Linked DNA regions of Arabidopsis thaliana. The protein of the gene in region 2 interacts with the protein of the main gene of each other region in a pairwise test. Each region holds a gene or a part of one and is shown on either strand. Other genes may lie near its edges.

The links.
Region 1: the proteins of MLO10 (region 2) and AT3G13410 interact in a protein complementation assay, tested with the Arabidopsis thaliana proteins (one large-scale study listed by BioGRID).
Region 3: the proteins of MLO10 (region 2) and CNGC10 interact in a protein complementation assay, tested with the Arabidopsis thaliana proteins (one large-scale study listed by BioGRID).

Annotation. Positions count from the first base shown.
Region 1 is NC_003074.8:4,359,765-4,367,434, reverse strand, and holds AT3G13410 (2-C-methyl-D-erythritol 4-phosphate cytidylyltransferase), read left to right. Parts: upstream 1-3,118; 5' UTR 3,119-3,297; intron 3,298-3,383; 5' UTR 3,384-3,402; coding exon 3,403-3,524; intron 3,525-3,657; coding exon 3,658-3,760; intron 3,761-3,856; coding exon 3,857-3,916; intron 3,917-4,100; coding exon 4,101-4,163; intron 4,164-4,287; coding exon 4,288-4,488; intron 4,489-4,591; coding exon 4,592-4,703; intron 4,704-4,793; coding exon 4,794-5,005; intron 5,006-5,193; coding exon 5,194-5,286; 3' UTR 5,287-5,800; downstream 5,801-7,670. Other genes in the region: AT3G13420 (uncharacterized protein), read right to left, coding at 1,129-1,251, 1,600-1,984, 2,247-2,440, 2,620-2,712.
Region 2 is NC_003076.8:26,385,116-26,393,513, forward strand, and holds MLO10 (Seven transmembrane MLO family protein), read right to left. Parts: upstream 5,653-8,398; 5' UTR 5,293-5,652; coding exon 5,092-5,292; intron 5,022-5,091; coding exon 4,964-5,021; intron 4,894-4,963; coding exon 4,709-4,893; intron 4,633-4,708; coding exon 4,516-4,632; intron 4,444-4,515; coding exon 4,383-4,443; intron 4,310-4,382; coding exon 4,221-4,309; intron 4,118-4,220; coding exon 4,043-4,117; intron 3,968-4,042; coding exon 3,879-3,967; intron 3,800-3,878; coding exon 3,750-3,799; intron 3,667-3,749; coding exon 3,626-3,666; intron 3,555-3,625; coding exon 3,381-3,554; coding exon of another isoform or gene 3,275-3,380; coding exon 3,239-3,274; intron 3,120-3,238; coding exon 3,052-3,119; intron 2,961-3,051; coding exon 2,900-2,960; intron 2,799-2,899; coding exon 2,394-2,798; 3' UTR 2,313-2,393; downstream 1-2,312. Other genes in the region: AT5G65960 (GTP binding protein), read left to right, coding at 298-364, 432-492, 574-709, 801-1,128, 1,309-1,437, 1,622-2,082; AT5G65980 (Auxin efflux carrier family protein), read left to right, coding at 7,329-7,463, 7,555-7,634, 7,713-7,837, 7,929-8,050, 8,141-8,398.
Region 3 is NC_003070.9:130,382-139,200, forward strand, and holds CNGC10 (cyclic nucleotide gated channel 10), read right to left. Parts: upstream 5,544-8,819; 5' UTR 5,327-5,543; intron 4,942-5,326; exon of another isoform or gene 4,889-4,941; 5' UTR 4,836-4,888; coding exon 4,807-4,835; exon of another isoform or gene 4,738-4,806; coding exon of another isoform or gene 4,724-4,737; coding exon 4,201-4,723; intron 4,121-4,200; coding exon 3,908-4,120; intron 3,826-3,907; coding exon 3,530-3,825; intron 3,372-3,529; coding exon 3,260-3,371; intron 3,159-3,259; coding exon 2,922-3,158; intron 2,838-2,921; coding exon 2,443-2,837; intron 2,364-2,442; coding exon 2,033-2,363; 3' UTR 1,889-2,032; downstream 1-1,888. Other genes in the region: AT1G01335 (auxin-responsive endogenous peptide protein), read left to right, coding at 355-477; AT1G01350 (Zinc finger (CCCH-type/C3HC4-type RING finger) family protein), read left to right, coding at 6,351-6,435, 6,554-7,377, 7,467-7,589; AT1G01355 (Putative endonuclease or glycosyl hydrolase), read left to right, coding at 8,132-8,160, 8,216-8,397, 8,482-8,733. UniProt on the Arabidopsis thaliana protein: Probable cyclic nucleotide-gated ion channel.

The DNA.
Region 1 (7,670 bases), on a different chromosome or scaffold from region 2:
TTAACTTACCTCTTGAAAATCAAATCAACGAAAAGTCCGAAGAATATCCAAAAGGAACAAATAGTAGACGAAGAAAACAGTCGAGCGACAAAGGACCAAAAATTCAGCAGAAAGGGATCATCGCCGAGAGGAATATTTTGTGGGTAAGTGTCTGAAAACGGCTGGAGATCCACGCAGACTTTTTTGAGTCTTTGACCCCTTTTTCAAAATTATTAATCTAATCAAATCTCATCTTAATAATAGTCAGACCGACGTGGATAAGTAAGTTATACCAATTTTTATAGGTCAAAGAATTAATTTGCACGAAACTCCTTGGCTACTATTAGGCCCAATTAATTAATTAGTACCGCAACTTCGCAATTCACATGGGCCGGTGGTTCAACATTAGGCCCCATGCCACGCCATATTCATCATTCATTTAATCATATGAGTTGGAGAACTCGAGTCAAATAGAGAGACTAAAATGGCTGGAATCTGGCACCAAGTTAGTCTCCTCAAGTTGTCATTAGATCTTATAAAATGATAACATTATGTTTATATCTGTTTCTTCTATTCTCTTACGGATATTACAAAGAATATTTCCCCATAGGCAAATCATGTTGCTACTTTAAAAATCTGCAATAAAAACTTCACTGTTTACCAAACATTTTGGATGAAAAAACTATCTTTGAAGTTTATACTAACCCTCCGATTCACCTATTTTTCATGTACAGAAAAGAATGCTAATGTACATTCGTAGTCCAAATAACCCCAATTCTATACAGTTCCGAGTAAAATGAATGATGATAAAGGCATTGTTCTTGCTTGTTATCCACTATGTAAATCTCGGATCTGGATTCTTCAAATTGAAAACAAAGAATGGCCTTAGAATTGTTGAATGAAGTTGCTCGTGACAAAAGCTATCTTCCTGCAAAAGTGAGTTGGAAACTGCCAGGCAAAAATGATAAAAGCTGAGAGCAGTGCTGCAAGTAGTAATGTAGATTGACAAACACATGCAATTTACTGAGTCCAAGGATATACCAAAGCAACAAGTGTTCTTTCTATGTCTATAAAAAGGTCAAGTGTGAAAGTTAACCTAACCAAAAGCAAGGTATAGTATAGTACCGTCCACAATCATTAGATGTTCTATCAACAGAGACTAGAATGAAGTGCTTCTAAGGATCTGGATAGAGGAGACTTCTTTCGAGAGGCTTCTGCAGCAGATGATTGGGATCCTTTGTAAATGTCTCCAGCTGAATGGTGCTTAATCACCTACAAAAGGTTGAAAACCCACTTGCTATGTCTGTGTAAGTTTTAGAGGAGTACTGAGACAAGAAAAGCAGCATACTATGATGTAATATCAATACTATGTGGCCTTTGTTTGTTAGTGAGAAACAAGTTTCACCTAACCTAGAGTGGCAAAGAGCTAAAAAGCATGGTTGGGTGATCTAGATAGTTCAATCCAATTCTCACTATATTGCATACAGTTTCAAAAGAAAGGTCCGAAAAGAAGCATCTGGAAACCCAATTGGTAAAACCATAGACAAACCAAGTATAAAAACCTCAACTACAATGAGTACACAAACAACTTAAGAGAAGAATAGGTAGAAATAAAAAGACCTGTGTTGCATTGGGCAAAGTGATATTGCTTAGGCCGCCATCTAACAGAGGAGTGTAGGAGGCAGGTTCGTCAATAGAATCTTCCAAGATTTCGTCAGAACGTGAACGTTGCTTAGCTATAGCAGGAGCCTGTAAGAAGCTATTTCGTAATTCTGGATCACGTGAACGTTGCCTAGCTAAAAGAGGAGGTTCTAAGAAGCTATTCCGTAAATCTGAATCTGATTGACGGGGAAATGGAGAGTCTATAATAGAAGCTCCCAGCCTATAGATCTGAAACCATAACAGAGAGGACGATAGCCTCACAACGAACCCAGCAATTTCCATAGCCAGGGTGAGTTTCACAGAGAAGATGTAAAAGACTTGATACATATCAGATGAAATGTTCCTGCATTAACAATTAAATCTTTTGTCAGTTATAGGCAGCAGATGAATACTGGCTCAACAGAATCTAAACACGACATAGCAAAGATTTGCAAAAAAAAAGGTTTAAAGATCAATCAGTTCAAAAAGATGATGAGCCAATCAAGAGAAATTCAGGACAGTTTACAATATGTGATGCAATGAAAATTAAACAAGACAGAGCAAACTCTTAAACCAAATATTTGATCATGATCACAAGCACGGCTGTTCCAAGGATAGTGACATACCAAATCTCTTTGGAGAAGAGAATGAACCATGAGACATCAAGAAGAATGGCGCAGAAAAGAAGAACCGCATAGGTTCTGCCAAGACTTTGGCTATTACTCTCGATTGCTACTAACCCAAATAACGCAATCGCCAAATTTATCAGCACGACTCCATTGTACAATGCCCCTAGTGAACCGATCAACGCGCACCCTATCTGAAACAAATGATTCATCAATATGAGTTTCTTGCACTTCTAACCACAATTAAAAGAATAACAAACAAATATCGACAGAGAAATCGTAGAACCCTAATCCCAAACAGATACGAACAATTCACGAGAAAAAACGTGAAATCGGAGGAAATGAAACAACTACAAAGCGATTACGGATTTACCTGAGCATAGATAAGAATCAAAACGACAGATTGGAGCCTAACGTAGTCGCGAAGCCAATTATGTATTCGATTTCGTAACGAAACACAAAGCATCGTAAAATCTCAACCTCGCAGCTCTCGTTACTTGTTACTTCAATGGACTTTCATAATACAAAATGGCTCGACGATTCTGATGCTAAATTGCAATTTTCCGGCGAACGAAATCGGTGAATCAAGAGAGAACGACGATTTGAGAATTTTCGTGAGGGAGAAAGTAAAGAGTGTCTTTGGCGGGATCGCGTTGCAGAAGAGGCAACAAAATAAAAAAATGAGGAAACGAAATATTCCGTTCAATCGTGACGAAGTTATTATAAGATTTAAGGAGGTTTCCGTTTCTTGTCCAGAGTGACGGACGCTTAACGGAGTCACGAAATTTTGGGCCGTATTGGAAAATCTTTAAAAGCCTAATCAAGCCCAAAACTTCAGACCGGTTAATATCTGAACATAACCGAAACCGGTTATCTCGGTTAGCGATTTTCGTTTCAAAAACGACGCCGTTAATTCCTTACATGTCGACTACTCATATGTGTCGCCCAGATTTGAAGATCGGAGATATGAATCTCTTCTTTCTCTGGATTTGAAAGTTCGATAAAAATCTACTGATACATCGACTTCTGGAAGCGATCTCGATCTCTCTAGGTTTGTGATTATCTTTGAATTTGCTGATTGTTTCGTTAGGCGTGAGGAATTGTTCGATTGATTTTTTTTCCTTTTGTCTCCGGTAGAATTGTTTCGACGACGAAGATGAAGAAGATTCAAATTGGTGCGGTGGCGCTATTGGTGTTTCTATCTGTGGCCTCTCTCTTTGAAATCGGATTGGCTTCTCCGAACACAGTTCCTGCTTTCCTCTGGTCTCCGCATCTCCAGTTATGCATCTTGTTTTCTCTATAATTCTCAATTTGATTGATGGAAATGTGTAAAAAGCCTGGGACTTGTGATATCTGATGTGAGTTAGCTTAGATTACTGGGTTGATTGGTTTATGTGATTCTGAAAATCAGGTCTGCTAATGGTGAATTGGATGAGGCTGTAAATTATCAGGTCATGTCTGCAAAGGATCTAGTTGGTTCTGTTTTCACTCAAGGAGGTTGGTCAAACTTTCTGGTATGGTTTCTTCTTCATGATCTTATGATTTCAATTCTACAACTCACTGGATGTCAAATGATTTTTCTTATTGTCATTACTGTCTCCTTTGTTTAGTGCTCAGAGAAGAAGCTTGAGCAACCTGTTGATGTTGCACTTGTGTTCATAGGCAGAGAGGTAATTGAATGATGTAGTATTGTTGTTTTAACATTAGCATAAATGACCTTGTGGATCTTTGGTTTCTTGTTGTGATATTGTAAAGAAACTGATGTTTTAATATTGCGGGAAATTAATCGTCTTTGCTCTGTATCTTCTGTGTTATGCTGAGAATTCTAATATTCACGTTCTCTTCCGCCTGCAGTTACTGTCTTCTGATGTTTCTTCAAAAAGGAACTCAGATCCTGCCCTTGTTAACACATTGAATGTAAGTGCAAATTTTCTTTTCTTCAACAAGAAATTTCGAAATTGCATCCGTAACACAGATCTCTGACATAGTTGTTTGATATAAAGTTTACAATACTCTAACATCCAAGTCTTTGTTTCAACAGAATCTATTTACAGCTTCCAACTTCTCATTGGCATTCCCATATATTGCTGCTCCAGAGGAAGAAAGGATGGAGAATTTGTTACTTTCAGGGCTTAAAGAAGCTTGTCCCAACAATGTAGGAGTCAGCAATATCGTGTTCTCAGATTCGTGCTTTGTTGAGGATGGAACAATTCAGAAACTTTCAGACTTGCAGTCTTTCAAAGTAATACTCATTGCTCTTAAGTTTTTATTTTCCCTAATCCCATGCCTTCCCAGTGTTATCACCCCCTTAACTTCACTTTCTAATACTCATTAATAATTGACAGGATCATTTGCTTGCTAGAAGAGAAACAAGGAAAGAAGGAGAAACTGACTTGGTTGTGCTCTGTTCCGAGGGTTCTGAATCGAATAGTCAAGCTGGACAGTCACATTCAGAGCGTAAGTGGAAAGATCATTACAAAATAATACTAACAATTAGATATCATTTGAGAACTAGGAAATTAAGCAATTCTTTGACCTATTCTGCAGGTGAAAGCTTCTTGGAACTTGTTAGTTCTGTAGAACAATCCGGCAGTAAATATACAGCTCTTTATGTTTCTGATCCTTATTGGTACACATCTTACAAAACTCTCCAAAGGTTTCTAGCTGAAACTGCTAAAGGAAACAGTACTCCTGAAATTGCTACTGGCTGTGATGAACTCTGCAAATTTAAGTCATCACTTTTGGAGGGCATACTAGTGGTAATTACTCTTTTTACTCGTGTTTTTTTGGTATTCATCGTTCTCAAGAAAGATTCATAAACATCATAGAATGGACAAGTTTAATGAGCATCTTGGTCATATCTAGCTGGAAGATAATTTAATTCAATGTGTTAAAATTTCGTAAAAGCCTTTGATTATGTCTCGTCCTTTTCTTTTTCTTTTTGCAGGGAATCGTTTTTCTTCTCATCTTGATCAGTGGACTTTGCTGTATGGCGGGTATCGATACACCGACTAGATTCGAGACTCCTCAAGATTCTTAAGCTGTTGACCTTAAGAGCCATCCCCACCTTTTGCTTTGCTTTTGACGAGTCTTTTCTTGTGCATAGTGCGCATTGTGGAAGGTACTTCAATGTCGATTTGTTACATTATTACTTCAAAACAAAATCTGCATATGCCATAAAATCCCCTTGTATCATTTATTCATCTTGTTTGTGAGTCTTTCTTAAACGTCATAAATTAATAATGGAGAACGAGTAAAAAACCAGAGATACATACACTGGAGAACGGATTACATTCTTTTTCAGAATTTTTTTTGTTTCTTTTTCTTAGATTATATTCCGGAGTTATCGTGCTCATAGTATCGTATTCATATCAATTTGGGGATTCGGACATAGATTTTCTGGAAGAAAAAAACTCAGGACAATAATGTCGGTAGAGTCAGAGTGGTAGGACATGTGTGTGTACCATCACTTGTATAGATAGATAGAAAGATAGATATAGATGATAGTTTTGTGAACAATTAAGAAAATAGTAAGAATACATATATAAGTTTTGTCATGCAACATGCAATTCTAATCCAAATTTAATGTTTGCCTCGGCATGTTTAGTCATTATTAAGTAATATCGATTGAGCAATTAGCAGTTTATAATTTATCTAGATAGACCTTTTGTTTTGACTATTTCGTTGATTTGTTCCATGATTCAATACTTAGCAAAACATCTTCATATGTTGGGGTCCTTATGGTCCCTGCATGGACCTATTGACAAAGTCATAAGATCAATCTTTCAGATTCTTTGATTGACCTCTCTCTCTCCATAAAGAAGCGTATAAAGAATCAAAATGACCGAAAACGATGGTTCTATTCATCTTTTCCCCACTATACATACTCCTACATTTATTCTAACATAACACTATTCGTATCCCTGTTTTTTTCAAAGTTTATACTATAACAAATACATGACTGTATTTGTCTAATTACGAAGAAGTTTCAAAAGCATCATTTATGAACAATGTTTATCTTTTTTTTTCTTACACAAACATTTATAAAAAATCATGTCACCATGACATGTAGCTTAGTTTTATACTAGCGATATTTTTGTGTCATCGTCCGAATTAGAATTTGCATATAATGCATATTATCGATAGAATTTATACGACTTTGTTTTCTATACTGCCACATAATTGAAATTTAAAGATTAGAAATATTACGTATAGGTTTTTTATTGAAAAAAATATTTTCAGTTTCGCACAAAAATATATGTAAAAAACAAATAGAGGGAAGCACATGAGACATAGGGGTTTGAGCCAAAAGAGCAGTGAAAATCCCATCGATCTGCCACTCCACCAACTGACATCACATTGTACCCATTTTCTTCTTCTTTTCCTCAACTATCCATTTTTCTTGTTTAGACAGACACCCCCGCAAATATTTATTACCTGAACTATAACAACAACCAAATTTTGAAATATAAAGAACAATGTTGAACTAACAAATTTGCTTCATCTTTTATTTGCTTTAGCTTTCATACGTAAAATCTCTTGTGGCGTTCACTTCAAATTTTATAAAAAAAAAAAAAAAATTATCTTCTGTTTAACAACATATGACATCTTAAATTGATATTTTAATAATAATGAAAAACTATAAAAATGTACGGCCACGCAAAAGTGACCTACTCGAGCAGGTCCTTTTTTGATCTTTTCGATAACTTTGAGATTCCAAGTGCTGATTTCTGTGAATTTTTGTATATATATACACACATATTTTTGTCAAAGAAACAATATATATATATATATATATATATATGTATATAACTGACGGTCTCTATTTACCGATTACTTGTTTATAAATTAACTTATACGGAGTATAAAATATAGATGTTTATTTAATAGTGCCCTTTCGAGTACCTGTCGGGATAACTAGCTAGGGTTACACGTAAATGTTGAGATTCTTTCTTCTTTTAAAAATGTTTACGAGAGTCCCTTTTTCTCTCTTTCTACACACATTTATTTCTCTCGTGAGTTATTTCTTAGTAAGTCCTAAAATTAGAAACTTATAGTTCCTATCAACTTACCAAAACCAGGTCGATTTTGTGCAAGTGCGTCTTGTTTCTCAAACCACGTCCCTCGTCTTAAATTTTTATTGCATATGCTTGTCTTTGCTCAAACAGAATCTATTTACCTAGGTCGTTAACCAAAACCTTTTTGAGCTTGTTAATTAGAAACTTGAAATTTTCAAATATGTTAATATTAAGGTTCTTTGATGATTTATTAATTTAGAGAGCATTTAAATATAGGAGATTTTGTTTAAACGTTTTATCAAATTTCACATTTTTGGTCAAAGGAAAAGAAGGTTAAACACAATTCAAGAAAACAATAAGATGACAATTTTCGTTATAGACAGGAGCAATTTATGTGTCTATGTGA
Region 2 (8,398 bases):
TTTTTTGGAGAACCCAAACTAGACACATAGGATTAGGACACAATCTGTTTTGAGATGTGTTTTGTGGCAACTGTTTTTCTTTCAATGCAAAAAGTGTGTGTGTGCTTAAAACGACCATACATGGTCAAGCTAACGCAGATAAAACATTCAATATTTCGTTGTATTGGGCCTTTTGATATTTGGGCTTCAAATTATCACTTGACGTTGGGTTTGCCTTTTCTCACTTGACGACAAATCAGAATTAGCATCTGTTTAGATTGGATCTTGATCACTGGCGGGCGAAGTTGGAGAAGATTGATGGAAAGCCGACCGGGAGTTTTGGTCGTCGGATCCTCTGGCGTCGGCAAGCGCACCCTCCTCTCTCGTACGCGCTTCTCCCTCTCGGATCCGATTCAAAATTTTGTTTTGCTCTAATATGTAATCAATCACAGGATTGCTCTCTGTGGAATTTGAGGATTCATCGGAGTCATCATCTCAAACAGAAGTTCATGGGTACGTCTAGTACTGAAGAATTTCTTACCCTAACAAGTTTCATCGTTTGAACACTTTTTTCTCTCTGTAAAATGTGGGCAGCTGGACGATTAACACTAAGTATTACACTGCGGATGTTTCTGTATGTATATCACATATTTGCGATGAATACTCTCTACCCAATCTCCCTAACTCACATCCACTGGTGGCGTTAGTTATGGTCTTCGACTTGAGTGAGGTTTGACATTGATGATGATGATGATGATACACGCTTCATTCTTCTCACCTTACCATCCCTGCATAACCCTTTTTTACCCGATTCTTTGCAGCTGTCAACCCTTGTTGCTCTTCAAGACTGGGTTTCTCATACTGACATCAACAGTTTTGATATATTGTTGTGCATTGGTAACAAAGTAGATCGTGTCCCTCATCACCTTGCTCATGATGAATATAGACGGCGCCTTTTGAAGGCATCAGACCCCTCTAGAGATCTGTATTCGGACATTGATGACTTTGGGATCTCCGAAACTGAAGGAAGCAGCTTGTTGGGAAGTGAAGATGCATCACTAGATATCAGGGGAGCATGTCTTGAGTGGTGCTCTGAGAATAACATTGAGTTCATTGAGGCTTGTGCCTCTAATCCTGATTTTGACAAGTGTAAGTTCTATCTCCTTCCTTCTGATTATATATTGACTGCAATATGCCCAATGTAATCTGGTTACTCCTTGTATAGCTTCTACTGAACTTGTGAATGAAAAGTGAGTGAAAATGGATGAGCAGAGAATACGCGTATTCGTCTCTCTAGCATTAATGAGGCTCACGGGTTGGTCCTTGTAGGTTTATCAGTCGATGGGGATTCTCAAGGGGTTGAACGTCTATTTGGTGCTCTTTCGGCTCATATGTGGCCTGGGATGATTCTGAAATCTGGTGATAGGATAAATGAACCTGTGTTACCTCAAGGGGAAGGTTAATTGTTTCTTCCACTTTCCTCTCCCATATATGTATGAGTTCCTGAAATGTCCTTTCCCGGTTAGAGTTTCTGTTCGACCAGGAAGTGGTAGACCGAAACTCGACCCAGATAAGAAATCCTGGTGAGGACATTTCATTTCCACTTGGATTCATGTTGATTGGGTCTTATATTTCCTCTCAGAGTTGTCAGAAGAAGAATCTGAATATGAATTGGAGTATGAAGTGCTATCAGCAGGCTCAGGTGATCCATGGGATAATATTGAAGAAAGATGGGTTTCTGCAAGTGAAACGCATTCACATGCCGATGCTGGCGGATCCACTTCACAGGAAAACCTCCATGTAGAAAATAGTATGGTGAAACCGAATAAAGTTGATGAAGAGCTGCTGCCGTCAGGGTCAAGGTTAGAGCTGCAAAATGACACTGACAGAGCAATAGTAACAGATGAAAAACCTTTGGGCACAGAAAATGAAAAATGTTACGAGTTTGAAGATGTGGAACAGTTGATGTCAGAAATAGGAAACATCCGGGACAACTTGCGATTGATGCCTGATTTCCAGAGGAGGGAAATAGCTGCAAATTTAGCGATGAAAATGGCTTCCATGTTTGGAGGTGACACTGATGACGAGGAAGAACCTGAGTGAGTCTGTTTATATCAGATATTGTAAAAGATCAGCGTGAGCTACGGTTTAATCCTTTCTTTATACAATCTTTATCAAAGTCCGTGTCTTGTTTTTTGATAGATTCTGGCAGTAATAGTCAGTTGCACGATGTAATACTTATCTGGGCCGACCTGTTATGTATCGCTTTACTTTTTCTTTAGATACGTAAGAGCTCTAAAATACAGCCTTATACAGAAAACCTAGTTGGTAACACTTGGCGAAGCAATTGTTGGCATACATGTAATAGAAAATAAAGACCGGATGATGGATTTGTTCTGCATTCATTTTGAATATTAGTCAATATCATTAGCAGGAACGTTCTTCACAAAGGAGAATTGGTTTCCAGGACTAATATCTCCAGTATATTCTATCTCTGTGTTCTGATCACCAACCCTGACGAGAGTGTGCCCCTCTATTGGTTCAGGGGATAATGGCTCAGCTTCAAGATCAGACATGCTTTGGTCCTCGAAATTACTCATATAAGAGGCTGTCGAGTGACCAGTGGTCTTGGAGCGGAGTAGAGTGGCTCCAGAGGCGTGAAAGGATGAGGTAGAGGTGCTGACAGTGTCAGAAACACCAAGGGTCTCTGTTGGTGGCTTTCTCGCTTTGCCTTTCTTCTTCTTCACAGTCATGTGCCATTTCTTCAACGCTTTTGCCATTTGCTCATCAAACACAGCTTTCTTCATGTTTGAACCCATCTGCCCACAACAACAACATAAGTTTGTTGCTTAGTTACTACTATATAGCTTCGTAGACACAAATATCTGGAGAGTAAAGGCTGAAATTAGGATAAATGTACCTGAGTAACTAGTGCATACAAAGGAAGTGTGATGTAGCTGCACAAAATCAAAGCTCCAACGCTGCAAATTTATCAAACTTGTTGAGCTAATCGTTCCAAGAGAGATATATCTATTAGTTTATTCACTAGAGAAGAATAAGAATAAATTTTACCCTAGAGAGAGTTTTACGATGACTAGTTTGAAATCCGTGTGAAAGCAAGATTTTAGCCCAAAGGAATACTGCATGCCAAATTAACGAAATGTATCAAGTCATTTGTATCAATAGAAGAGAATATGTACATGGTCCAAAAGGCAAACAACTAGTGTATTGCGCATAGAATATAGAGAGATGTTGTTACCCAGACCCAGAAGAAGTATGTTAGCTGGAAAGCATTCTATACAAAAAGAAGGAGCATTTAGACAGCATGGCACAAAAGTTGAAGACAAGTATATGTAACATGCAATGGTAGTTTTGTTTGGAACTGAAAACAATGCAAGTACCTGAAATAAGGCGAAGTGAAGAAGATGAAGTAGCAACTGAGGGCGATTAAACCAAAAGTACTTATCTGAACCATGCACGAGAGGTATCCCTTGAACAACTGCGTGTCTCTCCGTGATTCCCAGAGCCATTCTTGTTAGGATCGCTTGAAGCTTCGTACTGACAGCTAGAATGATCTGCAAGGGGTTGTAAAAATGAGACATACAAACACAGTATAAGATTCGCTCAAGAGTATAACTTGTCTTACAAGTACAGGTAGGATTGACGCCCAAAACAATGCTTCCCAGCCTAAACAGGAATGGGATTATTTATTCAGTAGAACAATAACCAATGGCTTGGTAAAAGAGCAAGCAAATGCAAAGCTGACTCACCATTAACATTCAGAAGTAGGAAAATTACAAATGATGCCCACAAAAGAGGACTGCACAGTACAGTATCAGCAATGTCAACAAACACCTCTCAACGCAGTACTAGCTCTAGCACTGTTTTGTGCTACGTACCTTATTCCAACTACCACCTTGAAATCGTCTTCCAATGATCTTTTGATATACTTCTGGAAGTCGAACTTTCTTCCTGGAGCTAAATGGGCCTAAAGGAGACTCACCCATAAGCATCACACCATTAGTGGAAGGCAAATACAAGAGAGAATTGAGTTTTGCCTTACAGCGATGAAGCCATGGCGCAGAGTTAAGTAGTCAGTCCTCCCTACAGATCGGAAAAACTGCTGTAGGAAGCACCCCTGTAAATCAGATGGTTGAGAGAGCGAGCAAAAATCAATTTTTAATCAACAAACTTGATGCCACGAGGGCATGCTCAAGAAGAAGTAAATGCATGCTTCTCACAGCATAAAAGAAGAAGGGGATTTTTGTCCAGAAACTGGAATGTTGTCTAACAAAGGACGTCTCATGAGTGAGTCTGAATCTTGATGGATCTATGCATAGAGAGGAGCCACTTTAGTGACCTATAAAACAAAGGTTTAATTTAATGAACAAGAACTCGCCTACCGATTGAAAACTCGTAATCATGAGAACATGTCTCCTGCTCCCACTTTTTCCAGCCACGGATCTGCAGTTACAGAAAATGATGAATAGCTAGGATTACGAAAGTTTGAGATAAGAAAATCAGGGCTTGTCGTACCTTGAGTCTGCCAAGCATCATGGTGATGAAACTGTAGAGGATATGAAAGGCAGCCATGAAGAACAATAGAATGTGTAGCTGGTGCAAACCCGTGGCAGGTATGAGTGGTTCATGACCCTGCGGACAACAAAAAAGTGTTAGAGAGATAGAGCTAGAGCGTAAATTTTTTAGTACAAGGGAAGCTAGAGATGACCTCATCGCAGCGGGAAGAGGTCGTAGCAGCAGCTAGACGTCTGCGGTGGGTCTTGTCTTGGTCATGAGTAGAAGGAGCTGGACAAGGTAACATAGAGGCTGCAGCCTTTTCAGGAATACAAATCTTGAGAATGTACTGCTCTCCGAAGGTGAGCAACAAGGAAATGAATCCTAGAATCATCAGCTCTGCATCCATTTCATATATCTTAGTTTTCTTAACCAAATACGGTAGGAGAAAACAATTCTCTGGTCTTACCCGCCTTTATTTTCTCCAAGGCTTCAAGCAGAGAGTTCTTATGTTTCTCCCACAACCACTGAGAAATAAAATAAAAGTTTAGAGGGCGGAAGTAAAGGAAGAAAGAAAAAAGGGAATTCAGGGCAAACCGTGGCAACTCTGTGAAGAGCCTTCTCGAGGAGGACGGAGACAAGAATGAAGAAGGTACAGACGAGGGCAACGGCCCAGGTGGGAGTTTGGGAGAGTCCTTTCTCTTTGGCGCCGCCTGCAGAGGAAGCTCGGGCAAAGCCGGTAAGCAGCTGAGAGCAGAAGAGCAAAGTGGTCCAACACCAAAAGCATCTTGTGGCCATGGTAGCCAAAAGAAGAAAATCCCTTGGTCCTTGATTACGTACGTGAAACAATGAAGAGGGCAAATAAATGCGGTGTTGACTGAAAGTCCGTTTACTGTGATATGTAATGCATAACAATAAATTATGGGAAGAGAATCAATCGTCAATGTTTGTTTGACACTGGAGGTACTTGAGAACAATCAACCTAATAACACTCCTCCATGTCTCTTTTCGAAACCCAACCCTTACAGTAGTCAACAACAAACTAATGTCACTGTTGTGGCTCTATATATCAAAACTAAATGACAATTTGATCCCCTGTGAGAGATCAGAGGGGTAGAAGAACAGAATCGTCCAACACACTCGTCAGTTTGACTATTTGGTTATGCTTTTATGATTGCTTTCCCCTTTTAGTATTTCCACTTTTAGTTAAATATAACCCAACTTGCAACTTTAGAGATATAGAATGTTATCTTACTCTTGGCCGTTGCTCCACTATCTACCACCTTTATTTATTTTTTCTTTTCTTTATGTACCTACAATTTTTTAAATGCATGGAGGAATCATCACTTTCTCAGCCTGGGATAACTAATATGATTATAACAAAAGGCTCCTCTTTGTCTCTATCAAGTTTCTTCCCTCTTTTTAGTTTCACGTAATCCGATCATGTTGTAAAGTTTCTTTGTAGAAATATATATTTTGACAATGATAAAACTAAATGTATTAGAAATATATCTTCATTTGATCATCTATCGTTGATCATATGAATAATTTGGAAACAAATGGACAATGAGCTAAGCCCATATATAGGCCTCACAATAGCTGCCTCATACATACATACCATGGGCTCTTTTAGGCCTATCTACTTCTTTGTTATATGATCGAAATCAAAAGGTGCCCTTGTGTAGACACGCCATTTCCTAGTCACGCAACTATCTTATCTCCCGGACTTGTTCTACCACAAAACCTGGTCTCATCCTTCTTACCGTTTTCTTGTTTAAACAAATATTTGACTCTCTTACTTTTAATTTATTATAATCATCAGCACACGTAATTCTCCGAGACATACAAGCAAACGACGGTTTCCTCTTCCTCATCTTGGTTTTAATCCCACAAGTTTTTTTTAGCATATCACTTATTTTTTGATTGGATAAATAAATTCGAACAAGATACTGTGGAGTTGTAAAGAGGAAACAGAGGAGATGTGCAGGATGAGATTATTTTCCCCAAATTACAATGCAACTGTTTTCCATGTGTGCATATGTGATATGTGCAGGGTTGGGATCAGTCAACTTAGCAGAGTGGCTTGTGAAAGTCACACATATCACAGTTGACATTTTTTTTATTGATATTTGTAATAAAGTAGAGAGTATGAGCCTATGAGGAGCATTGTGGACTTGGCATAGCAATCAGCTTGGGGGTCAAATTCAAGAGATGTTTTGTATCGTGACTTTATGTTAGGTGATAAAGACAAATAATATTATGATTAAAAGGTCAAGTTTGGCCACTTTGAAAAATGTTAGTTTGTTAGTTGTGACTCATGTGCTCGAATATCCATGGATAGTTTAAATACATCTCTCTAGCTAGAGAAAAAGAAAGCGGAAATAAAGATATAAAAATATTTGGAAAGAAAGATACTGGGAGCAATTTAGCTACAGCATGACGATGAGTCTTACTTTGATTCTGTCAACATTATTAACCTGAGACAATCCCAAAAGTCTTTCGTCCCAATATTGAATCTTCTAATTTTGATATCTATGTGATTTTGCATATGCACTACCTGAGAGACCAACAGTACCTAGAGGCCAACTTGTCCTTTTTATTCACCTTTCTTGCATGACTTTTCCTATGTTGAAAAGTTAGACTCCTCTTTTACACTTCATGTACCCCACTCCTATACGTATTTAATCTAAATATATATACCCACCAATCCTCTCCATCTACACAAACAGCCCAAATATCAAACCTTTCATCTCTATATCTTTAACCTTGACTGCTTCTCTTCTTCTACAAGAAACCAGAAAAAAAGAAAAGAAAAGAAAAAGAAGAGATTAGGGATGGGTTTCTTAGAGTTGTTGGAGGTGGCTTCAATGCCAATCGTTCAAGTTCTTCTTATCAGCGTCCTTGGCGCTTTCTTGGCAACCGATTACTGCTCTCTTCTCTCTGCTGACACCCGAAGATCCGTGAACAAGGTCAACCTCCGTCTCTGCTTTTCTTTTTTCTGTTTGGTGTCAACTATGCATGCATTCATATATCATCACTAACAAACATTTTCCCTCGCAGCTCGTCTTCGTGGTATTCACCCCCTGCATCATGTTTGCCAACCTTGCCGAGACTGTCACATTGCAGGACATTATTTCATGGTATGCACTACCAGTCTCCTATCATCCCTCTGAGAATACATACGTGTGGCTTTGATTTGACCAAAATTAGTTTTGTAGGTGGTTTATGCCCATAAATGTTGGAATCACCTTTCTAGTAGGAGGCATTCTTGGATGGTTGGTGGTCAAGCTACTGAACCCCAAACCTCAACTTCATGGCCTCATAATTGCTACTTGTGCCTCAGGTAACATTAAAACCTCAAAATTTAATCTCAAGGAGGAGAGATATATCCCTGAATTCTCACATGAATCATATTTACTGTCCTGTCTACGTAGGCAATATGGGGAACCTTATGCTTATACTGGTCCCTGCCATCTGTGACGAGGAAGGCAGTCCTTTTGGGAATCGTAGTGTCTGCAGATCCATTGGGCTCTCCTACGCATCTTTCTCTATGGCCGTAAGTCAAACATACATACATATGATCTTCTGATCTCTGCTCAGACTTAATTGTTGAGTTGATCGTGTGATTAATTTTTGTCAAGGGCAGCTCGGGGGTTTCTACATATGGACGTACAGTTACCAACTGGTAAGAAGCTCTGCTACACAGTTTAGAGCTCTTGAAGCCGCCGGGTTGGTCAAGTCTCCCAACAAGGACATCGACTCTGATCCCCACGCTCTTCTCCTCAAGCCGCACCAAAACCAAGACCTTGAAATCCAAGGCAAACAAAAAGTGTCTACCAGGACATACATCAAGGACTTGCTCCATCAGATTCTTGAGGAACTCTTCGCACCACCCACCATTGGT
Region 3 (8,819 bases), on a different chromosome or scaffold from region 2:
GAATAGCGGGAGCTAACAGAAGAAAAATATATGAAAATTCTAAAAAGAGAATAAGGGATGAGAAAGAGTTTATAAGAGAGTTTGTTTAGTGGTTCGAAGAAAAGCTGAAACTGGAGAAACGGTGTGAGAGAGAGACACAGAGAGTGTGTTAAAAAAAAGGTTTGAGAGAGTGATAAGGAAGGAAGGGCGGAGATTCAATAGTCAGATGGCTAGAATGGCTTTTTATGGACGTTCATGGCAGTTTCCTGTAATTATCTTCTCTTTACATGGGTGTTTTCGTATTTTTGTCTTGATCGAAATTTCCTTCCTTGTTTCACCTTGATTTCTTACCTTTTAGGGCCTCTAAAGTCGTTAATGGGCCTAAGTGATTGTCTTATTTATAGGCTTGTTGTTCGCTGCTTTTTGGATTATTCTATTTGTGCCCCTTTCTACTTCTATCACAAATTCATGCTCTCTGCGTCAGAACCAGTTTTTTAAAAAAGTAAATGCAGAAATGGTAACTTAACTGCCCAGTTAAAAGAGTCTAAGAAATCACGTTATTAGGTATTATATGGCTCAAAAATGTGTATTTTGTTTGAAGCACGAGCTTGTTGGTCCAGATATTTTTGTATGTTTCCATATAAAAGCAAGCTATAATTAGTTCAAACAATCACACGTTCTTTGATCATTAATTTTTTTTAATCACAATGAACATTAAGGACTCTTAACATACACGTTTTTGTAAGCAAAATCAAATTTTATCATAATAAAATAAATAAAGGTTTTTTTTATGTATGAAGAAAATGAGAGCAGGCGATTTTGTCGTCCAGTAATGTTGGCAATGGCAGGGGTCACAAGTGGAAAGAAGAAACAAAGATGCGGGACCATTTGTCTTAAATGGGTCCCACGTAAAATGGGTATTCCAACGAATCGGAGCCGCACACTTTCTTAACCTGACTGCAATCAGACGGTGCTAGATGGACCACGTAAAGCTGCCTCCTCCCGTTATCCTATTCCACAAGTAACCAAACGAAATGGCCAATTTGTCCATACATTCTGTAATTCTTTTTTCCTTTCCGAAGTAATGTATTTATCGTTTCACTCGTAAATTTTTGTAAATATATTATTCATATGTTGAATATTATGTAACTTTCATTCTTTAGAAATGATAATCTCTATACGAAATTTTAGCATGAAACTAGATTATAATTTGGTTGACCATAAAAATGAACAATGAAATGGATTAATAGATTTTTCCGAAAACAGGTTAATCTTACGATCATGAAGAGTGATAAGGTTTAACATTATCTTCCACTCCGATCAATCTTACGGAAGAAGAGATGAATTTGGGGATTAGCATTCTCTCAGGTGGTTGTTGATAAAAAAGAGATGAAAGTACTCTAGGGTTACTTGTAGTATATATAAACGCAAGCTCAATATGTTGGTCTGCTTTATACAGGAGCGGGACTTAAAAAAAGGAAACACTGAAAACCGACATACGAAAGAGACGTTGATATTATACCGAACAAAACCAAAAGGAAACATTGGTTGGTTTGCTTTGATTTCTCAAGGAAGAAGAGAGAATGAGTGAGATGTTGTTGGAGATTAGCATTCTCCCTCAGGTTTTCATTATTAGGTTCTTCCAAAATAAAAAGGAAACTTTCGATTGTTTCCTTCTTCAAGAAAAGACATAAACGCAAAAAAGTTTCTTTAAACTCGGGAGTCAAAACAAGTTTAAGTAAAGTCCTAAACCTGACAGACCTTCTAACACTAGCCATTCTCTCATAACCAACCCCAGTTTTGCTATGCATTAGCTTGAAAGCTAAATATGCTTTTCCCACTTTCCTCAATGCATTGATCATCAGATCGAGTCTCTAACTATACCTCCATGTGTGATGCTGAACTGAAGTAGCCAAAGTTAAGCGGCGCATAAGAGCCAGCCATTATTTCAATTTCTGTTAGTTGATAAACAATTTTTTACATTTTATTGGTTCAAAGTTCAAACCATTGTTTTTACACTTTATTCCACACACTATACACATGCAAGAGAGATCTAAGGGTCAGTTGTATGATTGGCGGTGAAGTCAGGCTCGGTGGGTTTTTGAGGTAGCAAAGGAAGAGTGTAGCGAGGAGGAAGGTTGGAGATATTGTGCCTCAGATTGTGAAGCGCGTTTGATGCGAAACGCGACGCGTAAAGAGCGCCTCCAAGGCTCAAGGACGACGACACGGTTGCAGCATTGTGTTCTTTATCTTGACTAGCGAGCGCTTCTCGGAGACGATCTTCTTCATCGCGTAGTGACTTGGCTAACTTCCTCCGACAGTATCTCCTCCACGCTGCTTGTATAAAAGACACGCTCCATGTTCTCCATTGCACTGAGTAAAACCTGTATATATAATCAAGATCCGGTTAAGAAGATCCAAAACCGAAAACAGAGCCAAAGAAGCTGATGGGAGTGACCGAACCGAAAAGTATGTTGGAGTTGCTTGCTATGGAGGCGTCTGAATTGTGAAGCGACAGACTTGAGATCCTCAGCTGTGAGAGCAAAGGCTTCGACTTCAGTGAGAGCTTGAACTGTTCTTGTCGAGATGGGAAAGTGAGAAGAAGATTGAGGATCTAATGCCCACGGGAGAAGATCTTCTCCGCAGAAATCACTTGCCTTTAGGTTCACGGCATTGAAGAACCCACTTCTTCCTCCATTAGTGGTGGCACTTACCAGTCTTCCTCTCATAACAAACAACATTTCCCCAACAGGATCTCCTTCACGGATCACGTAACTGTTCTCGGTGTAGAGCACAGGTCTTAGCCTATCGCAAACCGCGTCAAGTAACTGCTCATCCATTATCTCAAACAAAGGTACCTACCATAAACATCATATAATTTGGATTCTGAGGGTTCTTTAGTTCAGTTTATGGAAGAAAAAGAGAGAAAGCTTGTTACTCACTTTCTTGAGGAGATCGAGGCAAAGATGGCGTTTAATATCTCTTCTGAGGTCTTTAGGGAGGTTACGAAGAAGGGTTTCTTCTTCAACTCCTCTTGTCTCTTGCCATCTATATTGTTCATATCTTCTGATACGTTTCCTCAGGTCTTCAGGTAACATTCTATGAGACATCCACTGCTCTGCATCTCTCTTTCTCACCCTCATTTCCTCTTCTCGAACTGTTGTTGACTCCAAATATTTCTGCAACAGCAAACAAAAATTACATGCGTGTCCTGAGTAACTTATATGTAGCATTATGGAACAAGTCCAGAAAATGAGAAGCGATTATTTGAGGCTAATACCTGCATATTGCCGATAAGTAGAGCAAATAAGACTAGTCCAGATATGCAGATTGATATAGCAAATATGATTTCACCAACGAATTTGCTAGTTTGGAGATTCTGTCCCAATGCACTGCAACAACAAAAGCAACTTGTGAGAATGATGACTTGTTTAAATTGTGACAGATATATATGCTTAAGATGCAAATATAAACAGGTCATTTCACGGCTTAAAATCTCCAAATATAGCTAGTTAGTTATTGTCAACAGTTTTATGTGTGTCTTACAAACCTCAGATTTCGAAGACCCCACCAGAAGCAGTAGAAGAATTTCTTCCAGAAATCATGTGATTCAACAACGCCACTCTTAAGAGCATCAGTGAAGATGCCAAAGTTGAAGATGGTTGAGTTTGTTATATCACCAGGGTCGAGAAATGGGCAAGAAGTGGTCAGGAAATTGTTGCTAACGTTACGATCGTTTTCACAGTAGAGGAATTTCATATTACAACCTTTTGTCTTCTCGCATGCCTCTTGCCAGCATCTGTCTTCTCGTTCTACTGAGATTAAGTACCATAAAGCTCCAAACACCTGAATAAGTAAGTTTAACATATAACCTTTAATATGCATTTACATGTATAAAGATTCAGTCATCAAAAGATCCGAAACTCACATGACTGGCTAACATATAGAGAGAGAGGTTCCAAGCAGCTCCAGCCCATGCTGTTTCAGTAACAATGCCAGATGTTCTTGTCACTTCAGTGTAAAGCGGATACATACGGAGAATCCGAGGAACATATTGAGCAATTATGGAAAATTTAAGGTAGTCTTTTGTTAGCAAAGAGACTGGCTGGTTGACGCTTGGAATAACGGCTAAAACTACTATCTGCAAAAGTTAAGAAGCCAGAGGATTCAAAAAGAAATGATCATTGACATTTTGAACAAGTAATCAAACTAGTCATTTACCTGTGGGAGAGGAAGGATAGAGAGTAGATCAATGATGAAGTAAGAAGAGAGATACTTTAAGGCTATTGCCTTAGCATCATCTACCAGTTCACCTCTTCCAAAAACCCGCGAAGAAGGAGCGATGTAAGCTGTCCTGAACTGAAACACAATGTGAATAATGTAAAAGGCATCGATGAGCGTACGAAGCAAACTCGCAGCTATCTCCAACTTTGAGTCCAAAGTAAGACAGTGCCTTGCGCTATCGACAATGGGAATGTAGAAAAACAATGGATCAATCGCCAAAGCAACCACACAAGCAAATAAAAATATTTTGTTCCAGTTCTGGAGAAACGAATCCTGCGGGTTTATGATGTTCTTCCGAGTAACACTAGATGTTTCCTTGTGGTCAGGATCCTTATGTGAAGGGAAACTCAATGGCTTCTTGAATCCCCATTTTACATTCTTGAAAACTCTATCTAAAGAAGGTCTAGCTTTTCTTCCATAACCATATTCAGAGGATAATGGTTTGCCTTCATCTTTGAACCTAAACAAAATCATAAGAAAATGAGATAGTAGAAAAAATCATTCAACTATGAACTGTTTTCAAGATTTTCTGTAACTACCAACCTTACACGATTATCATGGCTAAATGCCATCAGCCAAACCCTTGTATATTTCAACTGATCTTTCGCTTACAGGGTGACGAGTCCTAACATTATAATAAGAACCAAAACTTAAGACATACGAATTCTTCTACATGATTACGTACAATGATAATCCCCAATACCAATTAAAAATAAGCAAGTAGACACCTAACTACAAATACAATTGTGTTGTGTGTATGTGTTTTTAAATATTTCTTTCTTGAAAAGGTTAATTAGAGAACCTAGAATCAGTCAATTTCCACCTAACATTAGATTATACCAAATCCTGTAATTCCTACCCATTCCTGCTCAATAAATGGAAACCACACGAACAACTTAAAAACACTGTTCATCAAAGATAAGAAATCCAAATTTCAAAAAACCATTGACCATAAACGAAAGACATATATCTAAGCGTTTCGGTTCTGAGAAACAGCAAAATAAATTCAGACGAAAAAGAACAAAAACGGAAATCGGAATCAAAATTCTATCATCAAACTAACCTGAAACGAAGTAGGTAACGGCGAGATAGTAAGATTCGGCTAATAAACGGAAGTCGGTGAACGGCGTTTTCTTCAATTCAAGCAACTGGTCCCGTCGTCGCTGGAAAGAGAGAGAGACTCATATGGCGGTTACTTGTATCTCTCTCTGTATATTGTTTCCTGGAAAAGTAGTATATGAGAATTTTATTATACGACAAAAAGGGAGGGAAAGAGGAATATTATGCAATTAAATATTATAAAGTCTGTTCAATTGAAAATCATTTCATAAAACAATTTCATTCAGATGAATGACTTGGTCAAAGTCAGACGGCGAGAATAAGCAAGTTGCCAAATTTTAAGTACCGGGCCCATTATGAATATTGAGCCCATTTAGATTCATGACCCAAAATGAAGTAACCGCCCCACCATATGTTCCTTATTTCTTTTCTCTTCACACTGATTTATTTTCTGTCGGAAAATACGGACGGCGTCGTCGTTCTTTTTGACGGTGTAGCTCACCGGCGTCGATTTTTAGATTTTTTTTTAAGGTAACATATTCTTCCTTGTGTTTAATCTCCATACTTTTGATCTACTTTTCGTTCTTGTTTAGTCTTTAGTGTTGTTCGAGCTTTTGTCTCCAATTTCAATCAATTCAAAGGGTTTTTAGATTCCAAATTTTGTAGCTTCCGTTGACACATCGAGTTGTCGAACTGTGTTTCGGATTGATCTGTCTGGAGCTTCTATTTCTGCTTCCTTATCTACTGTGAATGAAATTGCCACCGATATAGATAGTTAGCTAGGGTTTATTCGTGAGCTCGCGTAGATGAATTAGGAAGAATTCAGGTGATCATTTTTATGTTGCATTGTCTATTATTGTAACTGAATCTGGAGAAATTTTGATAAAATTGTTGTTTGACTCAGTGCAAACAAATTTACAAGTTTTCAGGAAATTGACTTAATACTAATCTTGAATTTTGCAGGGAAACACTAAGCAGCAAATTACAAGTGGGTGATTTGTGTTTGTTACATAGTCTTATATCTAACTATGTCAGATTCTGGTGAGCCTAAACCTTCTCAGCAAGAAGAACCTCTACCTCAACCTGCTGCCCAAGAAACTCAGTCTCAACAAGGTTACATATACTTCCTTCTATCTCAATTCTAGTTGTCGTCTCATTGAGATTTTTTCTTGTTCTTCGTTGTTAGCTAGAAATTTTCATTTACACTAATCAAATCATTCTTCTGTTTCAGTTTGCACTTTCTTCAAGAAGCCAACGAAAAGTAAAAACATAAGAAAAAGAACCATTGACGCTGATGAAGAAGACGGAGATTCGAAAAGCGAAAGCTCTATTCTACAAAATCTAAAGAAAGTTGCAAAACCCGATAGCAAGTTATACTTTTCTTCTGGACCATCTAAGAGTTCTACTACAACGAGTGGAGCTCCTGAGAGGTCCGTCTTTCACTACGATTCATCCAAGGAAATCCAGGTTCAGAACGACAGTGGAGCAACAGCAACCCTTGAAACTGAGACCGACTTCAATCAAGACGCACGAGCTATCCGTGAGAGAGTTCTTAAAAAAGCAGACGAAGCATTGAAAGGGAATAAGAAAAAGGCTTCTGATGAGAAGCTGTACAAAGGAATTCATGGATATACAGATCACAAAGCTGGGTTTAGAAGAGAACAAACAATCTCGAGCGAGAAAGCTGGAGGCTCACACGGGCCATTAAGAGCTTCTGCTCACATAAGAGTGTCGGCTAGATTCGATTACCAGCCAGACATTTGCAAGGATTACAAAGAAACCGGATACTGTGGATATGGAGATTCGTGTAAGTTCTTGCATGACCGTGGGGATTACAAACCAGGATGGCAGATAGAGAAAGAGTGGGAAGAAGCAGAGAAAGTTAGGAAGAGAAATAAAGCTATGGGAGTTGAGGATGAAGATGATGAGGCTGACAAGGATAGCGACGAAGACGAAAATGCATTGCCCTTTGCTTGCTTCATTTGCAGGGAGCCTTTTGTTGATCCAGTTGTCACCAAATGCAAGCATTACTTCTGTGAGCATTGTGCTTTAAAGGTATGATCATCACAATTACGAGTCTGTTTTTTTTTTAGTTGTGAAGAAATGTGTGAAACTAGCGAGTTTTGTTTAATGTAATGATGCAGCATCACACGAAGAACAAGAAGTGCTTTGTGTGTAACCAACCAACAATGGGGATTTTCAATGCAGCACATGAGATCAAGAAGAGAATGGCTGAAGAACGGAGTAAAGCTGAACAAGGATTGTGAAGTCCTTGTTTCACTGGACAAAAAGGCAAAAACTATATTTGGTTATTTACTTGAGGAAAGCTTTTTGTTTTGTTGTACTCACTGGCCTATATATATTCATTCGGATGACGACGATAGTTGTTTCAAACTGATTAACTTTTAAATTTAAACAAACTGAAAATTGAATCAGAGTTTTGGAGTCAACTTCCTAGTAAATCATCGTCAGAATAATAGTCGTCAAACTCGATATCCTGATTCACATATTTTGATATAGAAATTTGCTTCCCAAATTGAAAACGCGGTCGTTTAATAAACAGGCCAAAAGTAAAGTTCCTTACCAAACTTTTTAATCTAATGGGCCCGTGCGCTAAGATACAGTTAATGGGCAACGCGAATCGGCCCATAAATAAACCACACCACAAGTAGCGGTAACAAGGTAGTTCTATGGGGTAGAAAACGCATCTGAACAGGTAATTATTTGTCCTACAAGGTTCGATCGAATGTTCTCATCTCTTTTTTTCTCTCTGGCTTTCCGATCTTCTAGATTTTCCAAGTCTTGAATGATGAGGAAGGCGAAGGCTGTGGCCTGTGGGTGAGGTCGTGCCAAAGTCTAAGGCTGTAACACGCGTCTGGTGGGACATCAACAGGTGTCCGGTTCCGGCTGACGTTGATGTTCGCAGGGTCGGTCCGTGTATAAAACGGGCTTTGGAGAAATTAGGCTACTCTGGTCCTCTCACCATCACTGCCGTTGGGATACTAACAGACGTCCCTCATGACTTCCTCAGACAAGTCCATTCCTCTGGAATCGCTCTTCATCACGTTCCCACCGGTTTATATCTTCTCATCCTTCATTTTCTAAAATTAGGGTTTTGCTTCTATTTGCCCTTTTTGTTTTTGTTTTTAAGTCTTATAGTTTCCGAAACAGCTCTCTCAGGGATTGGGTGGGCTGTGGTTAAGTGGACCTGGTATAATCAACCTCCGGCTAATTTAATGCTCATATCGTACGAGCATATCTACTTGACCACTCTTGACATGCTAGGTAGGATCGGATACAACACTGTTCGGTCTATTCTTCCAGATGATCCTCAACAAGCCGCATCCTCCGCCTCCCCTTCTACAGGGTCTTTCCTCTGGGAAAGCTTACTGGCAAGCTTACCAGCAGCAGGTCCTTGTCCTCTCTCTCTCTCTCTCACACTCAGTACAGTGTTGAAATAGTTAAGCTGTGTCTGACCTAGTTATCTCCACGGACGC